Pelodiscus sinensis: one gene and its partners. The protein of the gene in region 3 binds, or shares a complex with, the protein of the main gene of each other region. Links are inferred from orthologs where the notes say so. Each region holds a gene or a part of one and is shown on either strand. Other genes may lie near its edges. The genes, in order: LAMTOR4, LAMTOR2, FNIP1 and LAMTOR1.

Region 1 (6,594 bases), on a different chromosome or scaffold from region 3:
CCTTCCAGCTGGGAAAGCATTGCCAACTCCACTCCTGACCATGGGAAGGAAGGGTAGGTCCTGGCTGTGCCCCCCCCTGCTGTGGGGACTCATTGGATCCAGGCCTCCTGTGCACTTTAGTTACATGTTTTTGTTATTTATTTTTCTCTAAAGCAGCTGCAATTTGGGTCTGAATAAATTACATGAGATGGAACCAGCCTTGCTCTGTGTGTGCACTGGGGGTGGGGGGCATGATGGGTAGAGACCCTCTGTGAGACTGGCAGTCACCCTCCCCCAGCCAGGGCCAGTGTTGGAGCAGGAAGAGTGCTCACTGTTGCAGCTCCCCACCCCAGCCCTTCCTAAGAGGTTGTGTAGAGTGGTGCTGCCAGAGCTGCTCACTGAGCATCACCCCCAGGAGTTGCCCAGGAGGGAGGGGGGGGAGGGGCAGGGGAGAAGAGGAGAGAGCTGAGGCCCATGGGGAATCATGAAGGGGTACAACCCCCCCCCCCCGGAAGCAAACCCCCCCCCAACAGTTAGGAAAGACACTTTATTCCCCCACAGTTACAGCATGGCATGTGCCTGCCCTCCCTCCTCCTTCAGGGGGAAAGGCTCCCCCTTGCCACACCCTTACAGGTCAGGCTCTGAAGTGGGACTCCCCTTCCATATGTCCCAGCTGCACTTCACTGTATTCCCTGCTCCCCCTCCCTCCCACTGATTCAGACAGCAACCGGCTCCCGTCCATGGTTCTGCCGCTTCACCACAAAGATCTTCTGGCCAGAGACAGTCACCAGGAAGGAGTGTTCCCCAAACACCACTGTGGGGAGAGAGGGGAAGACAGTATAAGACCACCACCCCCCAAGGGGGAAGGATAGGGCTAGAGTACCCTGGTGAGGGGGGTTACAAACCCAGTGTATGCCCCAGTTTTCCCCCTGCACAAGTCTGGCTGCTGGGAGAATGGGGGGGGGGGGGGGAGAAGAGAAGAGATACACAATGAGATGGTTTGCACAGCAGGCTCAGACCCCTGGGGCATGGTGTCACCTACTGAGCCCAGGTCCCAAGACTTGGGCACCCAGGGCCTAGGTGCAAACCCCAGGCTGGGTGGAGCCAAATGCAGTGGGTCATAGAAGCAGGCTGAAGGCCAGTGGATGCCATGCTGCCCCCCCAAAGGAGGAACACCCCTTGGGGGCTCAAGGAGGGGGTGGCAGTGACAGCAACTTAGGGAGGGAAAAGGCATTACAAGGGCATGGAGTAGAGTCCTTCCCTGGTGCTCCATGATGTGGGCACTGAGGGTGTGAGCTGCATACCATCTCGAGGGGGATAGGCCCCAACAACCGCCAAGCCCCCTTGCTCCCCAGCAGCTCTGTCCCCACTCAAGGTCAGTCACATTCCCTTACACTCCCTTCCCACACTCACCAGAGAGGCGTTTAAAGGGGGGGTCAGGGCTGCGCTGTAGCCGGAACCCGCAGGCTGTGCCCACCAGCTCCGAGATCGCTCCCGCCATGTGCTCAGCGTTCTCTAGCTCACCAGCTGACTGCAGGGCCAGGAAAGGGAACAAGGGTTAGGGGCGTGCCCCCCTAAACTCCCTTGCTCTGGCCCACCAACCCCCACTCCCCTCTCAGAGCCAGGTGAGAACCCAGGAGTCCTGGCTCCGCAGCCCTAACTCACCTAGCCCATCCCCCTCCCAGGCTTCCGGGTCCCCATCTCACCGCTAGCACGGCACCATCGCAGATCACCAGGTAGCCCAGCTGGTCAGGGATCCGCTCCAGCCCCTGGGTCAGCGCCGTCGTCTAGGGGAAGAGGTCAGGGTCAGAAGCACAGGGGGGGGGGGGTGTAGCTCCCCTGGGCACTGAGGGGCTGTGGGTGACCACAGGACCAGTCAATCCTTCCCGTAGGGGCCAACCCGGAGGTGATGGAGCAGATACCACCCCCCGCTCAGTGCCAGTCCGTGTGCATGGGGTGAGGTGTCCGGCCCGCTCAGTGCCACAGCGGGGGGGGGGGGGGTGTCCGGCCCCCGGGGAATCCTCCCCCCCCCCGGTCAGTGCCACAGCGGGGGGGGGGGTGTCCGGCCCCCGGGGAATCCTCCCCCCCGGTCAGTGCCACAGCGGGGGGGGGGGGTGTCAGGCCCCCGGGGAATCCTCCCCCGGTCAGTGCCACAGCGGGGGGGGGGTGTCCAGCCCCCGGGGAATCCTCCCCCCCCCCGGTCAGTGCCACAGCGGGGGGGGGTGTCCAGCCCCCGGGGAATCCTCCCCCCCCGTCAGTGCCACAGCGGGGGGGGGGGGGTGTCCAGCCCCCGGGGAATCCTCTCCCCCCCCCCCCGTCAGTGCCACAGCGGGGGGGGGTGTCCAGCCCCCGGGGAATCCTCCCCCCCCCCGGTCAGTGCCACAGCGCGGGGGGGGGGTGTCCAGCCCCCGGGGAATCCTCCCCCCCGGTCAGTGCCACAGCGGGGGGGGGGGGGTGTCCGGCCCCCGGGGAACGCGCGGCGCGGCGGGAATCCCCCACTCACCATCTCGAGTTAGGCGCTGCCGCAAGCGTTACAATCAGTTGATCATCAGCCCCGCCCCCTGTTATCCCCTTCCTTCCACCGCATTGGCTGAAAGCGCTGCCAGTCAGCTGCCGTCCCGCGCTGCCATTGGCGCAGAGGCGACGCCCCGTCCCCACCAGTTAGCACTGCCATTGGCCCGCCAGCCTCTGAGTTCCGGGCTATGGCCTAGACCCCGCTGCTGCATATTCCATGAGTACATGAATATTCATGAGGTGGAACCCTAAAGCTCAAGACAGGTGCTGCCCGCCGGCCCAGGCCCGTATTAACCCCCCCCCCCCCCGGGCCCGCCCTCCCCAGCAGCCGGAGGGGCGCGGCGGGCAGGTTGGTGCTCCCGTGCGTGGGGGGCCTCCCGGAGGCTGCTTCTGCCTGTCAGGCCTTAGTCAACCCCGTGGCCCTCCTAGCACCCGCAGTGCAGGGCACCCGGAGGACTTCGCTCTCTTGCTGGGTATCAGGCTTTTATGGGCTCCCCAGGGCGCCATTTATGGGGAGCAAGGGGCAGTAGCGCCCCCAGCCCCTGGATTTCATACTTGAGGTCTGCTTGGGGTTGCCAGGTGGCTGGTTTTCCACCCGCAGTCCGGTATTTGCGCCCTCTCGCCGGTAGAAAAATTCAGAAAATACCAGACGGGTGCAATGTCCCATATTTTCTGAATTTCCAGCTGGGCACAGGACAGAAGCCTGGCGGAGGCAGAGGAGCAACTGGGAGGCGGGGCCGCGATTGGCACTGGGAGCCCCGTGGTCACATGCAAAAGCTGGGTGGGGGTGGGGCTGGGGGCAGGAGCTGGGACTCCCAGCCACTCCCCCCTGCCCAGCTTCTCCATACAATCAGGCTGTGTCTAGACTGCATCCCTTTTCCATAAAAGGGATGCAAATTAGACACATTGCAATTGCAAATGAAGCGGGGATTTAAATCCCCCCCCCCCCCCGGCTTCATTTTGCAGAAACATGGCTACCGCTTTTTTCCAGCTCAGAGCATTACCGGAAAAAAGCGCCAGTCTAGACGTGGTTCTTTCGGAAAATAAAGCCTTTTCTGAAAGATCCCTTATTCTTCCCCCCTTCCTCCTGGCCAGCTTCGCAGCCCTCAATGTGCCCCCCCCTAGCCCTGCCTCTCGCTCCTCTTCCTCCCAGCCAGCACTGCTCCCCTCCCAGCCAGTCCCTCCCCCCCACCCACAATCAAAGTATTTTGGGAGGGGTCTACCTGGTAACCCTACGTCTGCTTAAAGCCCAAGCCCTGACTCCAGAGGCAGCCCTTAAACAGTTTGAGCTGCTTGCAGCTTTGCCTTTGGGGCAGGGAGTTTGTTATAAACAGAGGCAGGTGATTAAGAGTAACAAAGGCCTGGGCAGTCCAGTAACTGAAGGATTGTTAGATCACCATGAAAACATTGCTGGGTTTTCACTTAAAAGATGGGCAGGGAGCTGAGTTGGGGAGTAGGAATGAGTGTTGTGCTGCTAGGATCTGCATTTGGATCACTGCTGTTAAACTTCTCATAAATGTTCTTGAAAAAGGGGTGAACAGGGACTAATCCAAAGCTGACTGCAAAGAGTTACAAAGGGATCTCACAAAACTGGGTGATTGGGTAGCACGTAGTCAGATAGAATTCACTGTTGATAAGTGCAAAGCAATGCCCATGGGACAATATAATCCTAACTATATGCACAAAAATGATGGCGTCTAAAATAGCTGTTACCACTCAAGAAATAGATCTTGGAATTCTTGTGGACAGTTCCTTGAAAACATCTGCTCAGTGTACACTGGCAGTCGAAAAACTAAAAAGCTAGCAGAATACTGGGAATCATTAGGAAAGGAATAGATCAGTGTTTCTCAACCAGTGGTACGAGTACTGAATATTTTAAATAGAAAGGTGGGATTAAAATATTTAAATTAATTAATTAATTAATTAATTAATTAAATACCCTTAGGGGTACGTGAGAGAAGTCTGGGGAAGGATGGGGGTACATCAAGACAACTAATATTTGGAGAAAACTGAATTTTTGTTTTGTTTTACAGTGCTTTATTATTTTTGTACTTTTTACATCCAAAAATTTCATCGCTTGCCCAGCTACGATTAAGTTGTTTAAACAAATGTGTTGCAATGATAGAACATTTTTGTGTGTGTCTGCAGGGCCGGACTGAGGCCTTTTGGTGCCCGGGGCCCGGGCGCGCGGTGCCGCCCCCAAGCACAAGGCGCATGCGCGGGCCTGCCCGTGGAGCACATGCCCGCCCTCCCCCCCCCCGGGGCGCACGGCATATGCGCACGCTGGCCCCGGCTGCTGGCACGCAGCCCAGGGCGCTCGGTGCATGTGCTGCCCAGCCTGGCTTGGTTAGTGCTGCTGGCGCGCGCGCCGGGCCATGCAGGGCCCTGCAGCCATCGGGGGATGGGCGCTGCTGACCGGCACCGTGGGGATGCGGGCGGGCCAGCGCTGCAGGAGCCGCGCGCCCCTTACAGCTGCCATCAGGCGCCCCTCGTTGGTTGGTGCCCTGGGCAGCTGCTGTGCTCACCCATGCCTCCGTCTGGCCCCGTGTGTCTGAAAACTTTAAGTACTGGGTGGTACTTTATTAAAAAAGGCTGAGAAACACTGGAGTAGATAAGACAAAATACCAGATCGCCTCTATGTAAAGTCATGGTATGCCCACATCTTAAATACTGTATGCAGATCTGGTAAAAAAAACCCAATGGGATTTGGAAAAGGTATAGAAAGGAAACAGAAATGATTAGGGGTAAGGAACAGCTTCTGTATGAGCAGAGATTAACAAGACTGGGAATTTTCTGCTTGAAAAAGAAATGACTGAAGGATGGGGGGAATATGTTAGAGATCTAGAAAATCATGAGTGGTATGGAAAAATAGACTCAGGAAATAATATTCATTCCTTCACTAACATAACACAAGAGGCTGACCAACTAAATTTATAGGCAGCAGATTTCAAACAAACAAAGGAGGCACAGCGGATCATTTGAGGATTGCCTCTTCTGTTCACGCTTTCTGAAGCACCTGGCCTGACCACTGTTGGAAGACAAGACAGGGGGCTAGAAGGACTATTGGTTTGACTCAGTGTGGCCATGCTGATGTTCTTATATATTTCAGCTCTACATATCTCCCCCTTGCTCTAACTCCCTAGACCCCACTCCCCTTCCTGAGCTGAGACAGATCCCTGGAGTCCTGACCGTGTCTGTCTCTCCACAGAATCAGTAACAAAATAAGAACGTACATTAAAATTATAATGCTAACCAGTGTCCCTTACATGACTTGCCACAAGATGTCAGAATGTGCTAGTATTAGAACTGAGTGGGTCTAATATTTATTTTTCTTTCTGTTAGATAGGAATTAGATACAGTGCTCCTGCTAAATTGTCTGCCAAAAAAAAAGTAGAGTTTTCCAGTGCCTTAGTAGCCCGTGGATAGAGACGTGTACGTGGGGGAGGCCAAATGGGGTTCCCTCCCACATTTGGTGCTTGGCTTGTATTCAGCAGCTGTGTCTAGACTGCATCCCTTTTCCATAAAGGGAATGCAAATTAGACATATCGCGATTGCAAATGAAGCGGGGATTTAAATCTCCCCTGCTTCATTAGCATAAAAATGGCTGCCGCTTTTTTCCGGCTCGGAACTTTGCCGGAAAAGAGTGCCAGTCTAGACGCGGATCTTTCGGAAAAGGCTTTATTTTCCGAAAGATCCGCGTCTAGACTGGCGCTCTTTTCCGGCAAAGCTACAAGCCGGAAAAAAGTGACAGCCATTTTTATGCTAATGAAGCGGGGGAGATTTAAATCCCTGCTTCATTTGCAATTGCGATATGTCTAATTTGCATCCCTTTTATAGAAAAGGGATGCAGTCTAGACACAGCCAGCATGTTCAGTAACGGCTGAAGCCTATGTCCTCAGTCCACCCCTCATGCACTCACTCTTTCCACCACCCCCATCATGCTGTGCACAGGTCTCCCCCCCTCCAAATCTGAAATAGCATCCCTGCCCATTGCCCCAGCAGTCAGTGCTTCCTTGGTGCTGCCAGAGCAGCAGATTTGGGAAGGGGGGTGTGCACAGGGAAGACATCACTTGCCCACTGGCTGATAAGCCTTTATTAACC
Region 2 (7,344 bases), on a different chromosome or scaffold from region 3:
CCAGCTAGCCATAGGCAATTAGTTATATTGGCCCATTGTGCCTGTGCTCCACCAATACTCAGGAACATGGGCCCAACTCCAGCAACATTTGGGCTGATATTTTGAGAGCCATCCTGTCCATAGGACAGACTGGGACAACTGCCCTCTGCTCTGGAGGGCCCTGTGCTTCTGGGGGATGCACAGACCAGGGCTGCCTGGTGGGCTTATCAGGGGGGCCTGGTACTAGCAGCATTTCCACCCCACCATGCCCCCACTCCACCTTTTCATTCAACCCCCACCCCACTCCTCTTTCCAGCTTCTGTCTCTCCCCTGAGCAATGCCAGGAGCCAGCAAAGTGGGCCAGAGCAGGGAGAGGTCACTTGTTGTTGCCAGTGCCAGGCCCCCCACTAATCCTTCAGGCCACCCTGGACCCCCAAAGCACAGGGCCTGGGATAGTTGCCTCTGGTCCTGATCTTGGGCCCATTCTGAGCACCACTGAAAATTACATCTAGCCCAGTATCCTGTCTTCTGAAAAGGGTTAATGCCAGGTGCCCCAGAGGGAATGAACAGAACAGGGAATCATTAAGTGATCCAGCCCATGTCACTCATTCCCAGCCTCTGATAAACAAAATCCCTGCCTATCCTGGCTAATAGCCAATGATGGACCTACCCTCCATTAATTTATCTAGCTCTTTTTTAAACCCTGTTATAGTCATGGCCTTCACAACATCCTCTAATGAGGAGTTCCACAGGTTGACTGTGCATTTTGTGAAGAAATACTTCCTGTTTGTTTTAAACCTGCTGTCTGTTAATTTCATTTGGTGACCTCTAGTTATTTTGTTATGGGAATGAGTAAACAGCACTTCCTTATTTACTTTCCCCTCAACAGTCATGATTTTATAGACCTCTATCATATTCCCCCTTAGATGTCTCTTTCACAAGCTGAAAAGTCCCACTTTTATTAACCTCTCCTCATTTGGAAGCCATTCCATATCACCAATTCATAGGATACTAGAACTGGAAGAGACCTCAGAAGGTCATCAAGTCCTACACACATGGCTGGACCAAGTATCATCTCATCCCAGATAGATGTTTGTGTTATCTGCTCTTAAAAATCTCTAATGATGGAGATTCCACAACCCCCCTCGGCAATTTATTCCAGTGTTTAACCACCTTGACAGTTAGGAATTTCTTCCTAATGTCCAACCTGAACCTTCTATGCCATTGCTTCTTGTCCTATCATCAAAGGTTAAGGAGAATAATTTTTCTCCTTTCCCTTCTAACAACCCTTTAGGCACTTGAAAGCTGTTATGTTCCCTCTCAGTCTTCTCTTTTCCTGAATAAACAAACCCAGTTCTTTCAGTCTTCCCTCATGGATCATGTTTTTTAGGTATTTAATCATTTTTGTTGTCATATCCACAACATGGAACAAGGTTCTATGACAGCTGAGGATGGAGTGTCAGGATCAAAGGGTTTCATGGGGATAGAATGTGGAGTCAGAGTGTTCTGTAGTAGCTGGTGTTGGAATATTAGGATCAAAAGATTCCGTGGCAATTAGGCTGGGACAGATTGGAAGGGACAGTTCTGAGTGATAGTTGGGAATGGGCATCTGGAGTGAGAAAGAAAGATAGGAATGAAGTGTGGGGAAAACCCTGTCTACACTGAATACAACATCCGTATTCAGAGCTGTGCTAGTAGTTAATTATGGCCAGGGCTCAACAAATAATACAATCTACTTGCCCTTGGTGAGTAGATTGCAACCCGGAAGAGCCAGGTTCGGGTGATCTGCACATGCGCAGATTTCCGGACAGCACGGCTGGCGAGTGGGACTCGCCGTGGTTCGGTGAGCCCTGATTATGGCTATCCAGTCTGTTGTGGATAATGCCTGGGGATATCAGCAGCTGATATAATGTTAGGTTTCAGAGTCATGTTAGTCTGTTTTAGCAAAAACAAAGAGTCCAGTGGCACTTTAAAAACTAACAGATTTATTAGTGTATTAGATTGTATGCTTTCCTGAGTTACAATTCACTTCCTCAGATTCTGAAGAAAGAAAGAAAGAAAAAAAGAAAGAAGCATAAGGAAGATTTATTATTAATTATGTATAATAATAATATTCAAGATCCACCCTGTATGTTTTCTGAGATAGCAACAAAAAGACACCAGAAAAATACACCACTACCTATTAGGCACTGTCTACCACAGCAAAATTAGTGCTCATATTTCAATAACTACAACAAGGGGGCAGTTGGTGCGTGGCTGGTAAAGACAAGGCCTAGTCAGTTCTTCTAATGTGTGTATCAATCTAAGGTCTTTATATGGCCCATTGGCCACCATTATTTTAGTATCTGAGTCCCCTCCAACCTATAGAATATTATCCTGAAAGTAACCCCATGTGAGGCAGTGCTGTGCAGATGCCCCCAGTTTTTACATACAGGGATTGGAGGCATAGGCAGATTAAATGATTTACCCAAGGTCACACAGGAAATCTATGGCAGAGCAGGGAATCCTCAAGTCCCAGTCTAATTAGTGATAAAGTCTGTTGGAAGGAGGGTTCGAAGGCTCCTCCCACACTCCCCCAGGAATGAGCTGTTGCAAAAGAACTATAAAAAGCACTGGAGAGTGCTTGCTAATCTCTGATAGGCAACTAGTCTCTTAATGTAAGTAGCTGTGTGTGAAAGTAACTTAGTTATTTGATTCTTGACCTTTTTTAGGGGTTATCTGTGCTACAAATGTAATTATTGTGGGGCTACAATGTTGTTAAAGCAGCACTTGGGTGAGGGTAATTCTTCTCCCCCAATATTCTTCAACCCCCCTTCTCCGCCAATATTCTTCAGCACTGTCAGTTGGGGGCAGACTTTGGCAAAATGGCTTGGTTTTGCTGGGATACTTAGCTAAACTTAATTAAGTTTAAAATTCTTTGGAGGGGGGACTACAGAGTCTATCTTGCTTCACAATTAGGCCTTTGATGTGTTACTGTAATATGTGTATACCTGGGTCCAGCCCAATGGAGCCTTTTTTTTTTTTTTTTTTTTTTTTTAAACAAATCAGGAGTCCCTATTTGGGGATGAAATGGGATGTATGCTCCTAGAACTCTGAAGGAGGACAACTGCATTTTCATTGTCCTCCTGAACAATGTTCCTTCTCTCTTCCATCCATGTGTGTAGCTTTTTTGTTTTAAGGACAGTGGACAGTCATACATGCCTCAGTGCACATTAAAAAAATTGCTATCTGTGAGTGCTCTGCTAATCAGCTGAGTGATGTTTGAATCTCCCCTGAGTGGCTGTGCAAGTGCCCAGCTTTCAGGGAACACCTGTGGTCATGGTGGTGGAGTGCAAGAAATGTGGCCTTCAGTAACATACTGCATTAGCTTTGCTTCCTAGACTGATAGCTGTCCCTGCATAGATACAGAATTCTCTGTCCTTAAAAGGTACACAGGGCTAAGAAGAAAAAAGTTTCCCAGTTCACTCACGCACCTGCCTATGCTTTTCTTCTACTGCCCCCACAGGGATTGGGGGTACCTGGGGTAGTAGAGAATTTTATAAACAGATGGGACCAGCAATAGGGAAAATGACACTGATAGGGCTGCAGTGTCATCCCTGCCCAAATTATCAAACTCCTGGGTCAGGTCTGCCAGAAGCCATGAGATTGGCTTAAAAATGACAAGATCTTCCAAAAATAACATGTATTTGCTTTTTTTTCCTGAGTCTTTAGATGTCATGCTTATCAGTTTTTCCTCTACAACTGCAATGTCCCCAGACAGTAGGTTGGTGGTTTTGTTTTGAATCACCAGCCTCCTCATATTTGGTGTCTGATTTCCAGCATGAACACCTGAAGTCCTATAGAAGTCAGATAGATATGGAGCTGATGGGTTTTTTGCGGGGGAAAAAAATCTTGTAAATGTGACCTACATATTCCTAAAGGCTCGAAATCCAGCAAGCAAATAAAAAGAACACAAAATTGTTCTAGGGGGCTGACCCGTGGGTCTCTTTCTATCTCTTCCCTTTCTACATGCTTGGCATTTGCAACATGGCAATCGTGAAGTTTAGAAACTTTGTTTTCATGAAAGCTGAGGTTCAACTGACTCCAGCAGCTGGGGATGTTAAAAAGACCCAAAATGTGTGAGTTGTCTGTAGCTTGTATGAAGGTAAATGGTATGTTTCCTGTGGTGTGATTACAGGAGATCACAGTAGTTGTGTGAACTGCTAAGGACTGGGGTCGTTTGGTGTGTAGCACCAGCGGTATGCTAGTCACCCACAAAGAGAAATTGCCCTGCAATCTGTGTGCATGAAATGCCCTGTCTATGCAACAGAACTGGAAAAGAACTACAACTCCCAGCCTGCTGTGGGCTGAAGTCGCCCTGCACGGGTTGATCAGCTGATGGGGAAGCAGGCTCTCTGAGCTGTGTGTGTTTCCACCACTGCAGGGAGGAAAAAGGATCTGTTGCTACCATGCTGCGCCCGAAGGCCCTAACCCAGGTCTTGAGCCAAGCCAACACTGGAGGGGTCCAGAGCACCCTGTGAGTATAAAGGGAGTGGTGGGGGAGAGGAGTGGGCATGGCTGGGTATGGATCAGGGAACCCTGTCCCTGAAGTATTGTGACCAGATCAGTGGTCCCATTAAGGATTAGTGCCCCCTCCTCCAAAGGGTCTTCCCCTCTCCCTACATCTCCCACTTCATGCCCCGGTAGGAACAGAGACATCTTGGTGGCCCCCCACCCAGCTTCAGTTGTGTTGTACAATTCCTTTTCTGAAAAGTGGGGAGGAAGAAGCAGCCCAGTGCACCCTAATAAGGAGTAGTCCCTCCTCAGAGGCATTAGATGTGGATGGGGGGGGGGGGGGGTCAGCATTCCCTGTAAGCTGAGTGCTTGCCTTGGACAGTCACCTAGGAGAGATTCAAATGCTGCCCAGCTGATTAGCAGAACACTTGCAGTGCCCACAGCCAGTAACCTATTTCTGCTGGTGGTGCACATTTGCACATAAATTTTATTTTCCATATGGGTGGAAAAAATTAGAGGGCACATTGATAGGGGTAAAAGGGTCTGGCCAGGACTTCCTCCAGAAGGCATTGTGGGGGACAGGGGATGGGAACTTGGAGAGCAGATTACTAATATTTTCCCTGCTGAAGCCCTGGGGAGAGGTATGTCAGTGAAGTACACTTTGGTGTTGTTGCATGCAGGTAGTCTGTTTTTCTTGCGTAGATCTTCTCTGTGCTGGGTCTGCATGTGGGTAGCCACATGAAGGCAAAGAAATGGGGGCGGGGAACAGTTGCATCTGTATCGCCTGCAAATCCACAGATCACTCTTACAAATGCAGATGTGGATACAAACGTTGAGGCTGTGCCAGGAGTTGTGCTCCCAGCACTGTAGTCTGGTTCACACTGGCACTGTGCTGTAACTTACTGCGCTCAGGGGTTGCGGGGGGGCACCCCTGAGCCAAAAAGTAAAGTGCCAGTGTAGACTTAGCCCGTGCGCACTCTCAGGCTGAGGCTGTATCCAGAGCAGTATCCACAAGACAGTAAAATAAAAAATTTGGGAGGTCCATTCCCCCACAGCCCTCTCTTCCTAGGAGCTGCTGCACCCATGGAAAAAGAGCACCCCTGCTAGAGAGGAAGGATGGTTTGGGGTGTGTAAAGTAAAGCTCTGCCACTGCCTTATCTGCCCTTGGTCTTATCACTTCGCCTTGGATACCCTCTCTAAAATGAGGGTGAGACATGCCTCAGAGGGGATGTCACGAGATTCCGTGTGTGTTCTGTCTGATCAGATACTAAGGTGATGAGCACCATAGAAACCCCTATGAGTGAAGTCCGTGCCTAAGCAGAAGTGGCACAAAACCCTGTGGGCTCTTGGCTCAAATTCTCCCCCTCTGTCCTTTGTAGACTTCTGAACAATGAGGGATCTCTACTTGCGTATTCTGGTTATGGAGACACAGATGCCAGGGTCACGGCGGCCATCGCCAGTAACATTTGGGTGGCCTATGACAAGAACGGTCACCAGGCTTTCAATGAGGACAACCTGAAATTCATCCTTATGGACTGCATGGTACGTTGTGAGGTGCAGGGATGGGGCAGGGATTCATTCCTACAGGAAAGGCTCAGTTTTTCAGCAGTAGAATGCTGCTACATGTCTCCGCTCTTATCAGTTTAACCCATAGATCCCTGAAACAGATGTGGAATTGGATCACAGGACTCCAGATGCCTGTTCTCCGCTCTTCCATGGACTGATATAGGTTAACTGCCTCTTTTCTGCCTCAGTTTCCCCATGTATAAAACGAGGATAATAGCTGCACCGTGGGGTAAGGCTGAAGTTCAGATTAAGTACTTAGATGCCATAGCAACACAAGTTATCCAAAGCCAAAACTTGAAGCAGGTTGCCATTCTTCCTTCTCCCTCGCACACATGCGGCTGAAAGATCTTATTTCAGAGCAAATGCCTTGCTCTTTAAGAATGACCTAGGCTTTCAAGTGTGATGGGACAATCTGATGGGATAATGTTGGTCAATTTGTTTGATCACCTTGTGCAGGGCAGTAAGAACATAATACCTTGCTCTGAAGCAGCATTCTATCATCAAGTCTCAGGGGTAGTTGTGTTAGTGTGTATCCACAAAAACAACAAAGAATCCATTGACACCTTAAAGACAGATTTATTTGGGCATAAGTTTTTGTGGGCAAAAACCTGCTTCGTCAGGTGCATGGAGTGGAAGTTACAGAGGCAAGCATTAACATACTGTACAATTTCCATTCCATGCACCTGACGAAGCAGGTTTTTGCCCACAAAAACTTATTCCCTTATAAATCAGTCTTAAGGTGTCACAGGAATCTATCATCAGTAGGTTTCTAAGCAATTCACAAAGGAGGGTCGTCTCCAGTCTTACAAATGGGAAAGAAATGAGGTGACTTTCCAAGGTTAGCCAGTGCCAAAACTGGAAAGAGAATCCAGGTCTCTTGAATTCCCAGCAGACTGCACCACAGTGCCTTCCCAGTGGAGATTTGGATCCCCAGTGTCTGACTGTAAGAGCAGAAGGTTAAAATGTCCGGGACATGGGGGTTCTAGAGTGGAAACCTATCCTTCAAATCCTCTTTTTTTTTTTTTTTTTTTTTCTTCTTCCCTTCTGCCGGCCTCCCCTTCTCTCCCTCTTCCACCCCTCCCCCCCCCCCCCCGCCAACTGCAGGAGGGTCGTGTTGCTATCACTCGGGTGGCGAATCTCTTGCTGTGCATGTATGCAAAAGAGACCGTTGGATTTGGGATGCTGAAAGCCAAGGTGATGCGGAGCTGCCGGATTGCATTTGGGGCGGGGGGCAGCTGTGTAGCTGCAGTTTGAAAAGTAGATTGGTGAACTCTGCATAATATGAGTGGCTCTCTAACTGATGTG
Region 3 (7,370 bases):
CCATTTTATAGATAGAGAAACTAAGGCAGAGAGAAATTATGCAACTTGCATAAAGGAAGCCTGTGACAAAATAATATTTAGGTCTTATAAAGAGAAGCTAGTATTTTAACCACATGACCATCCTCGGCCCCCATCTGAACTTCTCACCAAGACACAACAAATATTTTGAGGATGCACTGGAGATTTAAGTGCTCACCAGCAACTAGTGGGCTATCCAGATCATATGCGAAATTGTATTCTTTTTCATGAAGTATGAGTCTGATTCTACTTTCATACAATATTTGGAATTCAGGCAAGATCTTAAAGTAAAATACCTGTTTCATAACCTTATAGCTTTAAAGGAATCCTGTGCATTATCCAAGGATTGGATGTACTTTCACTTTCTTTTATAAGAATATAACTATTATGCTTTTCATTGATTTTTAGCACAGCGCTTAACAAAGACCAATTTTTCAGAATTTTAACACTGGAAAATTCAGTTTAGCAAAATATAATAGTAACAGAACGTTAGAAAGACACTTTTTATTAACATTTCATAGTATGTTTCCCCATTTACATTTATATTGAAATTATAAAACTTAATCTGAATATGTCCACTAACAGATTCATCATATAAAAATATCTTAAATGTACTAGCAGGGAGGTAATTTTAAATATATGCATCCTGTCCTGGCACACAGTGTTCTGTATTAAAGAAAGGGGAGGAGGAAGACCTCAGAAGATGATATAGTAATATTTTCTTCCTTACAACACACAATCCTAAATATCCCTAGTGTATGGAACACAGCTGTTGAGTTGTACACTAAATCCTCAGTAGAAGTTTATCATTAAGAAGTGTCTGGACAGCATAAAAATCAGGTAAAATATAATTGGCTCTCTCTCTCTCTCTCTGTTAAAGAAGAAATTTTGGCCCACCCAGTATGTCAGTAAAATAAAATAAATTACTCAGCTGGAAAATGAAATGGAGGTGTTTGGGAAGCTATAAACCAATTTTGCTACAGGTGTATTCCAACATTTATGGCACTGGATTCTAGGTTATTTCATAAAAACATGGAAGATCAATCAGTATGCTGTGAAAATGGTTTTCTTGAGAGAATAAATGGGTATGTTTAGTATTTACCATCCCCGATGTTTGCAGTGACTGGGTCTCAGGAACTACAGAAAGATGGTACTGTAATCCAGTACAGATCCAGAGGGCAGCCCTCAGGTCTACATGTTACCCATCACATTGTGTAATGTAACTTACAAAGATATTTAAAATATTAAATGGAGAGCTGTTCCAAGCAGTCAATTTAAAATGTAAATATTCACACCCCGCAATTCACACCAACAAATGCAAAGTGTTATTTACATGTCAGTTACAAAGTCATGATAGTGGTTTAAATTAATAGTTTGCAACTAGACCAGATTTTTCTACACAAATCTACTAGATGGTTATTGCTCTGTCTATCCATTACTACTGTTATTTTATAGACCCTAAAATACCTTTGGCTAGATCAACCTTTAATCTTATTTTTAGAATTTTGATAAGTTACAATAGGGACAAACTGCCAAAAGTGTAGTTCTGGTCCTGATTTTTAACTTTACACTGGAGTCCTCATAAAAAACTGCAAATTCAAGTCCTTATACCACACAGGTGTCCCTGGATCTCTAGGGATCTGCTTTCTCCAGACAACAAAAAACCATATTCTGTTAGCATTTTAGAAATACAGGGAATTACACATACAATCAGCTTAAATTGAAACGTTTAATGTTAAGAGATAAAGGTGGCGAAGCATTTGTAAGGAGGGTGCAAGCATTTTTCTTGCAGTCTTGTGTTTGGAAGCTTAGTGGATTCAGTTTTGTTGTGGTTAGATCATGACAGATTTTAAGAGTAACCTTACACTTCTGTTGGCAGCCTGCATTTCATATTTGCTCTTCCCTCTTAGTATTTATTAAGGTGGCTCTTTCCAGATAGCAACCACCTCGCCACTTCAAGAAAGTCAAAAGAATGGCGTCTTTTTTAGGGGGCTTGTTAAATCTGCAGCCTCAAAAGTGCGTCAAAACATCAAAGGCAATAAAATAAAATAAAATAAAGTTAACAAAGGAATTGGAGGACGGGGAAAGGGAAGCGAGAAATCCCAACCCACGCCAAAAGGAAGAGTCACAACCTAATCAGAGGAAGCAACCCATCTTGGGAAGCGCTAAGAGGCTACTTCTGCTTTGCAACTTTTTTACAAAGAAGGACGGCAATGAAAATAAGACTTGTTGCAGAGCGAAGGGCTCGGGGGGCCGGGATCCCCAAGGGGTTGCGTTGGAGGAGAATAGACGGAGGGCACCTTTAGGAAACACTCGGGAGAAACAATGTTGCATGCGTCCCAGTGCATTGCAAAAAGCGCATCAGGGATTTCCGTCCAGCTTCTTGTGTAGCGGGAGGAACCCAGGCCAAGAAGCCTCTCCACTCCCAGGGCTCTCCCGGGAAAGGGGCTGGGAAGAAGGGAAAGGAGGCAACACACCAAATGTGTGTGTCAAACGGGGGAGGGGAGGATTGCAGGGGGCCAGCTCAGTCAGTGTATCCAATCCTGCACACCAGAGCCCTCCAGACAGAGCGCAAAATCACCCCCCCCCCCCGATCCTCTCTTCTCTGGCCTCTTCCATAGCAGGGGCGAGGAGTAGTTTGCATCAGGCAAACAGGCTAGAAAGTAACGAACTGGTCCAAGTTTGTGAGCACGGGCGAGAGAGAGGGAAGGGCTGCCCAGGGCTCCCCCCGCGTTACCTGAAGACACACTCCTCCCTGGAGTCCCTGGCAGGAGAACTCAGCCCGGGCTTCTTGTTGAAGAGCTTCTGGAACAAGGTGGGTGGCATTTTGGGGCGCGCTGCTCCCCGCTGCCCCCCAGCCTCCTTCTCTCCCCGCTGCACCCAGCGGAGGCGCTGGGGCTGGAGCAGCGAACTCCTCCGGCAGGCAGCTAGTTCCGCGAACCCGACTCCATTTGGTGTCACAGTCATATGACAAAAATTAGTCACTTGGAGCTGCCAGAAGAGGAGGATCGCAGGGAGGCGGGCCCGGGAGGGGTTTCTCCGGGGCCGTGCACCGCTGAGTGGCTGAGGCCCCAGCACCACGTGGGGGGCTTTTCTGCTCAAGCAGGCCCGCTAGGTTTTGGTGGGGCCGGGGGAAAACTGGACAGATCCAGCTATTTTTTGGCCGCAGCAGCAACCCCCTCCCATTCCACTGTTAAATGGAGAACAAATCGAAGCTCTCCTAGGATACCGAATCTAACGCCGGGGCTGCCAGGATCCCATTGCAACAGCCTTGCTCCTGCACGTAGCTCCTGTTTGATCCAACTAGGATTCCCCTGATCCGCCCACAAAAATACAGAACGAGTGTGCAGAGACCTCCCTCTCTCAGCAAAGCCCCCATAGGGCCCGGTGCACCTCAGAGCAAATGGTTTAAACCGCTAGGACAGGGTACAGGCGGCCGGACGGATCTGAATTTTTGCTCCTCGGGGGGAAACAGTCTCTGCCTAAATAGAGAATAGACTCCAGATGCAACAGTCGAACCTCATGGGCCCCAGCTCAGCAAGGAGGCAAAAAACTGGGATCTAGTGTCTGATCTGGTAACTCAGAAATTGTTTCGGCATCTTAGGAAACATTTCCATTTTCCAGTATGGTCTGGATTATTCTGGTAGAAACTGTATCTGACGGTACTGCATTAATTGGTAAAACTGGGGAGGAGGGGCCGAAGTCACAAATAGCTAAATGTAGTGGGATGCAGGTGAGTCTTTACAGCTTTCTTCTACCAGGATTTACTAGAGGCCAGAATTTCTTCCTCGAGTGCTAGAAGTGCCACTTGTTCTCTATTTTGATGGGACAATTCCTGAGTTCTCAGGTGCAACGAGAGTGGCAAAAGAGGATTTCTGTTTAGGCAGTGGAATCTGTGGAGAGCTAGACCCTGGCAGAATCCAGGTGCCAAATTGACCTATTTCCAGCATTGCTGGATCCTGCTGCATTAGGGATCAGGTGTTTTTTGGTGTAAGAAGAGCATTCAGCTGTTCTCTCTTCATATGGCAGAATTAGAGTGGTTAGAGCCAGAGACTGGCCAGATTTAGCAGAATTTAGGTGCTGAATCCAAAATATGTGTGTGTGTGTGTGTATATATAGACAATGGGAATTGAAGACTCTGGTATAAAAAATAGGAGGCTCCCCCCCACTGATCCAGCTTTTTACTTTCTTTCCTTCATAAAGAGTTGCCAGTTACAGATTTAAGAGACTGTGCCACAGTGCAGTATCTGAATGAAAGCAAAAGTGACTCACGTGGGCGGTTCAGACTATACAATACCCAGAGAAGGAAGGTGAAGATTTGCATGAAGAGGAAGCTTCACATTATAAACAAACCAAATGTTACAAACTAGCTTTAAAGTGGTAACAACAAAATAATGAACCAGGAAGAAAACAGACAAGCTGGATGAGGTAGTAACTTTTATTGGACCAACTTCTGTTTTCTCTTTCACCACCAACAACAAAAAATAGTCCAGTAAAAGATTTTCATTCATCTCCCCTCTAATATTTTGGGACCCACACAGTTATAACATTACTACAAGCAGGAAAACAAATTACAGTTTAAGCAAGTATCCCTCTTTAGCCTAAAATTGGGTTTTACAAGAATCAGAGGGAGCCAAAAGTTTCTGCACAAACTATTAAATACTTTGGGAAAGCACCTTTAAATAATGTATTTAAAGGACAATTTTGGCTTGGAGTTTAGGATTCCTCATCAGTGCCTACAATGCACACATTTTAGCATTGTTTTCTAGTTCTGCATTTGTACAAAGTTAACTAAAAGCTAACTAATGAAGGTTAATGAGTTTCCGTTTATCTAAATGGAGTGAAGTAAAACTGCATGCTGTCAGATTAATTCAGATAAACACACTCTCAATAATCTAAGTAATTTCCTTTAGTAGCTCTCAGAATGAGTTTTTAAAATATTACTAGCACATTTACCTGGCATTGCTTGGGTCTTTAAGGAGGGGCTCAAGGCAGAGGGAGTGCAGGATCTCAGGACAAGGGAATGAGTAGGGGACACAGGGACACCTCCCTCCAAGATTCATATCAGGGCTTCTTGCTCTTCTCCTTCCTATTCCTGTCAGGGAGGGAGAGCAAAGTGCACAGCTCATCTGCCCTCTGCGCTCCCCAGCCAGAGTAAGGGGCAGAAAACTGTGCACAGTCCCCTTGCTCCCTGATGAAGGGGAACAGCCAGCAATGTCCTGTACAAATCTGGGAAGGGAGAGCTTCAGCCATCTTGCCCTCATTAAAGTGTCTGGTGGATGGGAGGCTCAGGACTGGGACAGTTCCAGATTGGGGGGTGCCCTCATTTAGTCCCTTCACCTATCTCCTTTCTGTATGGTTTTCTGAGAAGCAATCCTATTCTAGTCACATCCTATTTTTCTGCACAACCAAACCCTAACCTTGCTTTAAGTTATGATCAGAGGATGCTGTATAGCGAATTTGGTGGTCCTTGATTTTACTGTTTAGGAGTTGGGCCCCCCACTACAAAAAGGATGCGGAAGCATTGGAGAGGGTCCAGCGGAGGGCAACCAAAATGATTAGGGGTCTGGAGCATATGACCTACAAGGAGAGGCTGAGGGACTTGGGTCTGTTTAGTCTGCAGAAGCGAAGAGTGAGCGGGGACTTGATAGCAGCCTTCAACTTCCTGAAGGGAGGTTCCAAAGAGGATGGAGAGAGGCTGTTCTCAGTAGTGACAGATGGCAGAACAAGGAGCAATGGTCTCAAGTTGTGGTGGGAGAGGTCCAGATTGGATATTAGGAAAAACTATTTTTACTAGGAGGGTAGTGAAGCATTGGAATGGGTTACCTAGGGAAGTAGTGGAGTCTCCATCCCTAGAGGTGTTTAAGTCTCGGCTTTACAAAGCCCTGGCCGGGTTGATTTAGATGGAATTGGTCCTGCCTAGAGCGGGGGGCTGGACTTGACGACCTTCTGAGGTCTCTTCCAGTTCTATGATTCTAAGATAAAGGGGATGGTTGGATGAAATAACATGATCGTGGTAACTAATTGACCATTCATTATCAGTTGGAAATAGGTCAATGGAGGGATGATAGGAGTTGCTATAGGGAACTTTCTGGGTGTCTGGCTGGTGAGTCTTGCCCACATGCTCAGGGTTTAGCCGATCGCCATATTTGGGGTCAGGAAGGAATTTTCCTCCAGGGTAGATTGGCAGAGGCCCTGGAGGTTTTTCGCCTTCCTCTGTAGCATTGGGCACAGATCACAGCTGAAGGACTCTCTGCATGTTGGGGCCTTCAAAGTATTTGAAGGCTTCAATATCTGAGACATAGGTGAGAGGATTATTCTAAGAGGGGTGGGCGAGATTCTGTGGCCTGCACTGTGCAGGGGGTCAGACTAGATGATCATAATGGTCCCTTCTGACCTTAAAGTCTATGAGTATGAGTTCGTGAGCAGACAAAGTCTCTCAACTATATAGTAGATTATTGTGACAGGAAGTTACCTTTCACTATGCACTTTTATAACCTATTAAGGTAACTGTAGTGGAAAGCAATGAGAGAAACTTCCTTGTTGCTAGTTTGTGTACAGGAAGAGGACCTCTGACTAGACTTGGGTTTTTACACACTGCGTGCATCAGGGAATCACAAAGAGTACACAATTCTATTATACACACACAAAAATATACAGGCGGCATTAAGTAGTTTTCCCCTTAAGCTGGAAACACTTGAAATCAAAAGCACCCAACTGTAATTTACTTTTACACTTTTTAAATACAATTTGCAAAAAGACTTAATATCTAATTAAGTCAAATCTCTACCAAATATGTATCTATTTTAATCACTGAAATATATAATATAAATAATTCCAGGGTAGTTCTTACATAGGCTGTGATTCATCTGAAATTACAGTTACAATCCTTCAAAGAGATATTTTGGCCTAAATTTCTCCTGGGGAAGTCCCCTCGACTTCAGCAAACAAGGACTGCTCCTATGAGAGCTGCCTGCACAATTAGGCCCTAAAGTATTATACAAGCAACTGACTGTGACCTGTAACCTTTCCCCACTAATACTAAAGAGCCATTTTCCACTTCCAGTTTTTTTGTTTTGTTTTTTTAGTCCGGACTCAAAACATGGGAAATGCCTAACTGGTATAAAAAACAGACTAGGAGTGGTTGCTGTTGTAGTTTCAATATAGAATTTTCTTCCTGGAGCTTAAGAGGAGATAAAATGGTAACTTCTTATACTATATAAAATACTTAGGCTGTGTCTACACTATAAGGTTTTTGCACAAAAACCACCTCAAGCACGCTTTTGCACAAGAAAAATCGACAGAACAGAGAGCTTTTGCTAGTAGAGTTATTTCTTTCCCCACAAAGAATA
Region 4 (7,151 bases), on a different chromosome or scaffold from region 3:
ATTCATTCGGCACATGAACCATCTGTGGGGGGGAGCAAGGCCAAGGGATTCAGAATGTGGGAAAGGGCTCAGGGTTGGGGGGGATGAGGGCTCTGGGATGGGGCTGGAGATGAGGGGTTTGGGGTGCAGGAGGGGGCTCAAGGCTGAGGCAGACGGTTGGGATAACAAGGGGTACAGAATCTGGGATGGGAAGGAAGGGTTTGCAGTATAGGCTGCTTTGGGGAGAAAGGGCTCCCCCCAGTCTTCTCCCACCACAGCAGCTCCGGAGCAGGTAAGAGGCACCTCTCTGCTAGCCATGGAGTCTCTGGTGAGGCTGGGTTGGCTGGAAGAGGGGCACCTCTCTCCCAGTGATAACAGATTCATGCTGCCGGGGACAGCAGGGGGGAGAATTTTGAGAAGGTGCCTCTTCCTGGCCGTGGCAGCTCCCTGCTGGGACCAAGGAAAGGGGGGCTCTCCCCAGCCTGCGGCAGCTTGGTGAGTGCCTGCCCGGGGCTTATTAGGCAGCCGTGCAGCGTAGCGGGAATTTAGCACCGGGAGTATGTTGGCAGTGGTGCCACATGATACACACAAAACAATGATTTGGCTGGTGCAAACCCCCAGGAGGGACAGGAACGCAAAGGGACTTGGGGTTACAACCCCAGACTAAAGCTGCCAGGGGAAGTAACACTCATTCATTTGTCTGGCACGTCTGCTCAGCCAATCAATGAAGCTGCCTTGGCTTTTTATCATGCCAAGGGTGAGTGCCTGTCCTGATCCCTTTCTGTAAGGCTTATGGAGAAAGATGATTTAGACTTCCTAAGGACAAGATCTGGTCAGCTGGACACTAGAGTCCTAGGGGAAGAAGCGACAACGCCATGGCTTGAGACAACTCGGGTTAGTTACATCTGGCTACGGGAAAAAAGTCACTTTTGGCCAACTCATGCTAGCCACGTCCTGCCTAAAATAAGCCTTCAAGACTAGACTGGCCAAGATGGTAGCAACTACACTGCAGGGACCAAAGCAGGTGGGATGGGAAGCACCTGCCAAGCCTCCTCTCATTTCTAAGCTTCTGTCCCTGCTTTTAGATCTGGTTTGCCATCTACTGGGGAAAAACCCCACAATTGTATGTGGCTGAATGGTGACCCTGCTGCACCCTCCCAAAAGTAAGCAGTTTCAACAAACACTTGAAGACAAAAGATTCCCTTTAAGCCCCAGGAGCGGGGAGCATCAGCTGGGTAAGTACACAAAGCCTGAGGAGCAGCTGCTCACTTTGTGGCCAAGGACAAGACTCTTTAATAAAAGTTCAGCTATTAATAGAACTCCTGCCGGCAGCTCCAGGCCCTCTTGGCTTTCACTGGAGAGCTGCCTATAGTGTAGCCTGGGCCGAGAACAGAGGAACGGCAATTTGGGATGGCACAGAGCTAGACAGCTACGAGGCAGGAGGGTGGGATTCAGAAATGACTGCTGTCACTCCTGCCTGCCTGATGTTTTGAACGCTTCAAAAAGCAGAATGATGGGTTCTCCTGACCTCCCTGTATCCACACCAGCGGGAGGCTTCACCCACTTGCTGCCATAGTGCAACTCCTCCCCCACAGCAGGGCTTTTACGCAGATCCCTTCTTACTAACAACCTGAGTGGAGACAAGGCCTAATTCTCTTTGCCCAACATTAGCAGTGTGGCTAGACTAAGGTTTAGAAGGGCTGTTGATGGAAAGTCTTAGTGAGCATGCTCAATAACTTCAGAGTAGGCAAGACAAGCTGAGCTTAGCATGTGTTGAACTGCTTGAGTTGAAGCCGACAGTAGTGCCTAAGTTTCCATGCAATCAGTGTCACATTCTGACCCCTGTTCCTCATAAGCCGAGCACTTGGGCAGCCACCCAGGAGAGATTCAAATGCTGCCCGGCTGATTAGCAGAGCGCCCACAGCCACCAGCACGTGTTTCCATTGGCAGTGCACACCCGCACGCGCCTCAGTGCATATAAAATTTATTCCGTTTGTGGGTGGAAAAACTGAAGAGGGAACATTGATTCTCACCCCACACCATTAAATCCTACATTGTAATAACCCTGCCAAAATGTGAAGGGCATGGTGAGGAGGCCCAGTTGGATAGCAAGGATTTGCCGTCATCCCTGCCCAAATTCTCCCTCCAAACATCCCTTAGTGGGGAGCTCACTGAAAATCAGCTGGGCCCATTTCCTAAGGATACCCTGGAGGTCCTTGGCTTTACAGGCAACAAAATCAACCCAGTCCCTGCTGGGTTGGGGGAATCTTTTCTACCCCTCACCCAACCTGCCAGATGCCACCTGTATCTTTCTGGCAAGAGACACTCCAGCATTTTCTGAGATTTTTTTACTGACGTCTTTCTAGCCACAGCCCAATACTAAAAGGCACGGATGTAGGTTTCAGCAACACAGAAACTCCCAAGGGACACTGTGGTACACAGCTGCATTGAAGCTACAGGAGCCCAAGAGGACTTAATCTTTGTATTTTGTCAATTATGGTTTGGAAAAAGGCCCAAGAACGAGATAAACCCTCCTAGGCCACCTAACTCCCCCACCTAGCGACCCCAGCCTAGCCCCCCTCCCTCCCAGGGACCCCCCCCAACTCCCCCACCTAGCGACTCCAGCCTAGCCCCCCTCCCTCCCAGGGACCCCCCCCCAACTCCCCCACCTAGCGACCCCAGCCTAGCCCCCCTCCCCGCATGTGCCCCCCCGGGTTCCCGTCTCCCCGCCCCCGGGACCAGTCTCCAGGGAGCCCGAGGCGCCTGCAGACCCGCCCCCCGCCCGCTCCGCCCCCCGCGGGGGCCCCGGGCCGCACCTGGTCAGCGGCCTCGTTCTCGCTGCTGTAGCAGCACCCCATGGCCGGGCGCGGCGGGGCCGGTCTCCCGGGAGGGGGAGGGGAGGGACGCGGTACGGTGTCCGGCTGGGGCCCTGCCGCCGCGGTCACATGAGCAGCGGCGCCCGCCCCTCCAGCCAACAAACAAGCCTGGGAGGGGAGGAGGGGGAGCTCATTCGCCCTTCCCGTTCGCCGCTTCCGGACACGTGAGCCGGAGCGCCAATGCCGAGCGCGGAACGCGGGGGCCCTCACGGCACGTGAGGAGGGCGAGCCAATCGAGCGAGGCGTGGCAGGTCACGTGATCGGGACGCCTTCCAGGAAAGGAAGTGGCGGGGGACGGAAGAGAGACAGAGAGGGGCCTCCCGCCACGTGAGGGCGGCGCGCCAATCAGCGCTCAGAGAAGAGGGTGGCGCGTGACAGAGGAATGCTGTCACGGGCTGGGGGTGCATGAACCTCCCCGCTTCCCCGCTGCTCCGGGGGCGGGGCCAGGAAACCCCCCCCCCCCATGTCCACCTCGGCACGGGGCCTGCCCCCCCAGGATGCAGGGGCGGGGTCTGGCCCCTCCCAGCACAGGCAGAAAGTGGGGGGGGGGGCTGTGAGGCTGCAGCCAGCGCAGTGACCGGGCTCCCCCCAACATACAATCCTCCCCCCCCCCCCCGCCCCTATGGAGACAGCAGAGACAGCAACGGGGGGGGGGGCAGCTGCACGTTTACTCCAATAAACGCATTAATCCAGGGGTCACCACCCGGTCGATCGGGACCGACCGCTCGATCTTGGAGCCTTTGACGGGTTTGGTCAAGAGGCTGCCAAGAGCTGCACTTCAGCTGCCCCTCCCCCCACGGCTGCCTATCTCCTGCCCTTTGCCTTGGAGCTGCCCCCTCCCTGGGAACCTCCTGCTTGCTGTACAGAGCAGGGAAGGGAGAGGAGGGGTGCTGATATCAGGGTGCCCCTTCTCCTCCTGTATTCTGTCTCCACAGAGCAGAGCGGGGGCACAATAGGGCTTGGGGTGGAGGGATTTTGCTGGCTGCTTTTGAGAGTGGTGCAGGCCCCACTGCACCACCACCACCACCCAGGAGCCACCTGTGGTAGGCAGTGCTCAGCTGGAGCCAACTCTGATCCCCTGCCCCAGTCATGAACTCCCTCCTGCACCCTAAACCCCTGCCCCAGAATCAGCTCAGAGCCCCTCTCACACTCCAAATCGCTTAGTCCAAGACCAGAGCCTGCACCCCAACCCTCTTCCCCTGCCTGGTGAAAGGGAGGGAGAATAGGGGTGGGAGGGAGGACAAGTGAGCAGGGGCAGGGCCTCAGAGAAGGAGCAGGAAAGAGGCGGGGCAAGGGTGTTTGGGTTTGAGGTAGATCTTGGATTGCATTTACATTCAAAAAGTGATCTTGTGCTTAAAACAGAGACTACTACATTAATCCCTACTCCGTGGGTTGCACCTACAACGGGGGGGGGGGGAGCACGCTCCTAGCTCGAGTTTCCCAGCCAATAACTGATCCCAGCACTTTTGTAAGGGCCATTTCAATCACCTGGTGATGAAGTAGCATTTGAAATGCTGGAGCGGACAGGGACAGAGTGACCTAGACAAGTTGGAGGATTGGGCCAAGAGAAATCTGATGAGGATTCATCAAGGTCAAGTGCACTTGGGACAGAAGAAGCCCGAGCACTGCTACAGGCTGGGGACCGACTGGTTAACCAGCATCAGAGGGTTAGTCGAATTAGTCTGTAACTGGAAAAACTTAAAAAAACAACAAACAGTCTAGCAGCACCTTAAAGACTATCAAAACATGTAGATGGTATCATGAGCTTTTGTGGGTACAACCCACTTCTTCAGATGAAAACCGGCAGTTTAGCAGAAGAGGATCTGGGGATTACCGTGGCCAAGAAGCTGGACATGAGCTAACAGTGTGCCCTTGGAGCCAAGAACACTAACAGCATATTGGGCTGCATTAGTAAGAGCATTGCCAGCAGATCTAGAGAAGTGATTATTCCCCTTTATTCAGCACTGGTGAGGCCTCATCTACAGTATTCCATCCAGTTCTGGGCCTCCAATTACAGAAAGGATGGACATTGGAGAAAGTCCAGCAGAGGACAATAAAATGATTAGGGGGTTGGAGCACATGACTTACAAGGAGAGGCTGAGGGATTTGGCCTTATTTAGTCTGCAGAAGAACAGGGGAGATTTGATAGTAGCCTTTAACTACCTGAAGGGGGGTTCCAAAGAGGATGGAGAGGGTCTGTTCTCAGTGGTGGCAGATGACAGAACAAGGAGCAATGGTCTCAAGGTGCAGTGGGGAGGTCTAGGTTGGATATTAGGAAAAACTATTTCCCTGGATGGGTGGTGAAACACTGGGATGGGTTAGCTGGGGAAGTGCTGGAATCTCCATCCCTAGCGGTTTGAAGTCCCAGCTTGACAAAGCCCTGGCTGGAATGATCTATTTGGGATTGGTCCTGCTTTTAGCAGTGAGTTGGACTCAACTTCCTGACATTTATTTCAGCCCTAGGATTCTATGAGTCTCCAGTTCAGAGACTTAAGTTATTGCACCAGGCTGGTGTTTTTGCTGGAAAAGCTCCTGTGACGGGTTGGATCACAAGCTCCCCTTGGAGCTATCACCTAGTGTGCTGATCATGCCTCTGAGCCTGCCTACCTGCCGCCTGGGATGCCCCACCACTCTGTTCTCCTGGGCCAGGAACTCTGATTTCTCCCAGCCAAAAGGGGCCAAAATGCCAAATAAATCCATTGTATTCTGTGTAAAAGCTTTATCCAGAGAAAGTCAGGGGCTGCGACTAGACTGGCATGATTTTGCAGAAATACTTTTAACGGAAAAGTATTCTTGTGCAAGAGGGCTTATCCCCGAGCGTGAACATCAAAGTATTTCCACAAGAAGCACTGAATTCTTACATGAGATCATCAGTGCTCTTGCGCAAATTCAAGTGGCCAGTGTAGACAGCTGGCAAGTTTTTGCACAAAATCTTACCAGTCTAGACACACCCTGTAAGATTCGCTCTTTTTATCAATGAAAGAGAAATATGCACCCTTTCCCACGGTAACACTTCTTTACACCGAGCTTGATAATAAAAGTGGTTTTATTAAGTACTAGAAGGTTTACCCGGAGTTGCTCTGGTTCTTAAGACAATTTTTGGTTTTTTTGGAAAATAACATGAAAATGTCCAGGCTGCATTTGAGTCATTGCTCTGGGGTGGGGCTGGGGACGAGGGGTTCAGTGTGCAGGCTGCCCTGGGGAGAGAGGACTACCCCAGCCTTCTCTCACTGGAGCAGCTGGGGCCAGATGAGAAGTGCCTCTCCATGGCCACTGCAGCTGGAATGGACACCCCTGGGGGAGCAGTGCATCTGCCCCAGCTGGGGAAGGTCCAGGTTCCTCTTTCCCTTGCATTCCCCAGCCAGAGTGAGGCATGCAGTCTTTGCCCCCACCCCCCACACAAACACCTGAATTGTGAAAACTCCCCCTCCTTAACAGGAGGCACCCCGATGGTCCCATGGGCGGCGGGTGAAAGTCGAGCTGGGGAAGGCAAGCCCCCAGCCTCGCGCTTTCTGCTCAGGCCTCTCCCCCATGGGAGCCAATCCCCTCCCCTTCCCGGATAACCACAGGGAGGTGGGGTGGCACATGGCCCAAGCCTCCCCGGCTCTGGAGCATGGAGAGGGCGGGTGCGCTACAGTTGTCGTTATGGGTGGGGCCCGGTGGCCGTTTGGGAAGACGATGCCTTACTCCGCCTATTATACCTGCCGCTCCTGTGCGCCCTCCCCGCCATGACTGAACGAGGCCCAGCCCATCTGCCCCAGTTCTGGCCCTAGCTCCCTGCCCAGCCTGAACCTCCCACCCCACCCCCCACCAAGCCAGTCCAGTCCCAGCTCCGGTTCTGAGGCACCAGCCCCCCACGCACCAGGCTGGCCCAATCTGCTGCTCCCCACAAGCGCCAGGACAAGGCACTGGGCCCTCCCCCAACCACTTCCCTTTCTCAGCACCAGGCAGAGCCTGGCCAAGCTGCCTCACTCCCCTGCCAGAAGCCCTGGTTGGCTGCCCACTGGCTTGCCACCTTCCTCCTCACCCCCCTCCCAAGAAGAGGAGGAACACAGTGAGGGGTGGGGAGAGGGACATGGCAGGGCCACGTGGCCCAGGCATCAGGGGCAGGTTGGCAGCAGGGAACGCTTAACCTTCCTGTGCCTGTTATACCCGCCACCCATGCCTGAGCATGTGGGCAAGACCCACCAGCCAACACCCTGCGAAAGAATTCTCTGCAGTAACTCAGAGCCGTCCGGAGCAACGGCCCCGGGCCCCACTCTTTGGGGGTGGCCCAGAGTAATAGCAAGGGACCTA

What was found.
Region 1: FNIP1 (region 3) and LAMTOR4 share a complex: the UniProt entries of both Homo sapiens proteins name them as parts of the lysosomal folliculin complex. The link is inferred for Pelodiscus sinensis from reciprocal best matches to the Homo sapiens genes FNIP1 and LAMTOR4.
Region 2: FNIP1 (region 3) and LAMTOR2 share a complex: the UniProt entries of both Homo sapiens proteins name them as parts of the lysosomal folliculin complex. The link is inferred for Pelodiscus sinensis from reciprocal best matches to the Homo sapiens genes FNIP1 and LAMTOR2.
Region 4: FNIP1 (region 3) and LAMTOR1 share a complex: the UniProt entries of both Homo sapiens proteins name them as parts of the lysosomal folliculin complex. The link is inferred for Pelodiscus sinensis from reciprocal best matches to the Homo sapiens genes FNIP1 and LAMTOR1.

Annotation. Positions count from the first base shown.
Region 1 is NC_134734.1:7,555,306-7,561,899, forward strand, and holds LAMTOR4 (ragulator complex protein LAMTOR4), read right to left. Parts: upstream 2,614-6,594; 5' UTR 2,486-2,613; coding exon 2,483-2,485; intron 1,767-2,482; coding exon 1,686-1,766; intron 1,511-1,685; coding exon 1,393-1,510; intron 794-1,392; coding exon 696-793; 3' UTR 513-695; downstream 1-512. UniProt on the Homo sapiens protein: As part of the Ragulator complex it is involved in amino acid sensing and activation of mTORC1, a signaling complex promoting cell growth in response to growth factors, energy levels, and amino acids.
Region 2 is NC_134734.1:16,810,744-16,818,087, reverse strand, and holds the start of LAMTOR2 (ragulator complex protein LAMTOR2), read left to right. Parts: upstream 1-4,335; 5' UTR 4,336-4,427; coding exon 4,428-4,495; intron 4,496-5,852; coding exon 5,853-6,015; intron 6,016-7,143; coding exon 7,144-7,233; intron 7,234-7,344. UniProt on the Homo sapiens protein: As part of the Ragulator complex it is involved in amino acid sensing and activation of mTORC1, a signaling complex promoting cell growth in response to growth factors, energy levels, and amino acids.
Region 3 is NC_134727.1:26,104,941-26,112,310, reverse strand, and holds the start of FNIP1 (folliculin-interacting protein 1), read right to left. Parts: upstream 3,008-7,370; 5' UTR 2,986-3,007; coding exon 2,756-2,985; intron 1-2,755. UniProt on the Homo sapiens protein: Binding partner of the GTPase-activating protein FLCN: involved in the cellular response to amino acid availability by regulating the non-canonical mTORC1 signaling cascade controlling the MiT/TFE factors TFEB and TFE3.
Region 4 is NC_134711.1:325,258,534-325,265,684, reverse strand, and holds the start of LAMTOR1 (ragulator complex protein LAMTOR1), read right to left. Parts: upstream 3,002-7,151; 5' UTR 2,838-3,001; coding exon 2,796-2,837; intron 1-2,795. UniProt on the Homo sapiens protein: Key component of the Ragulator complex, a multiprotein complex involved in amino acid sensing and activation of mTORC1, a signaling complex promoting cell growth in response to growth factors, energy levels, and amino acids.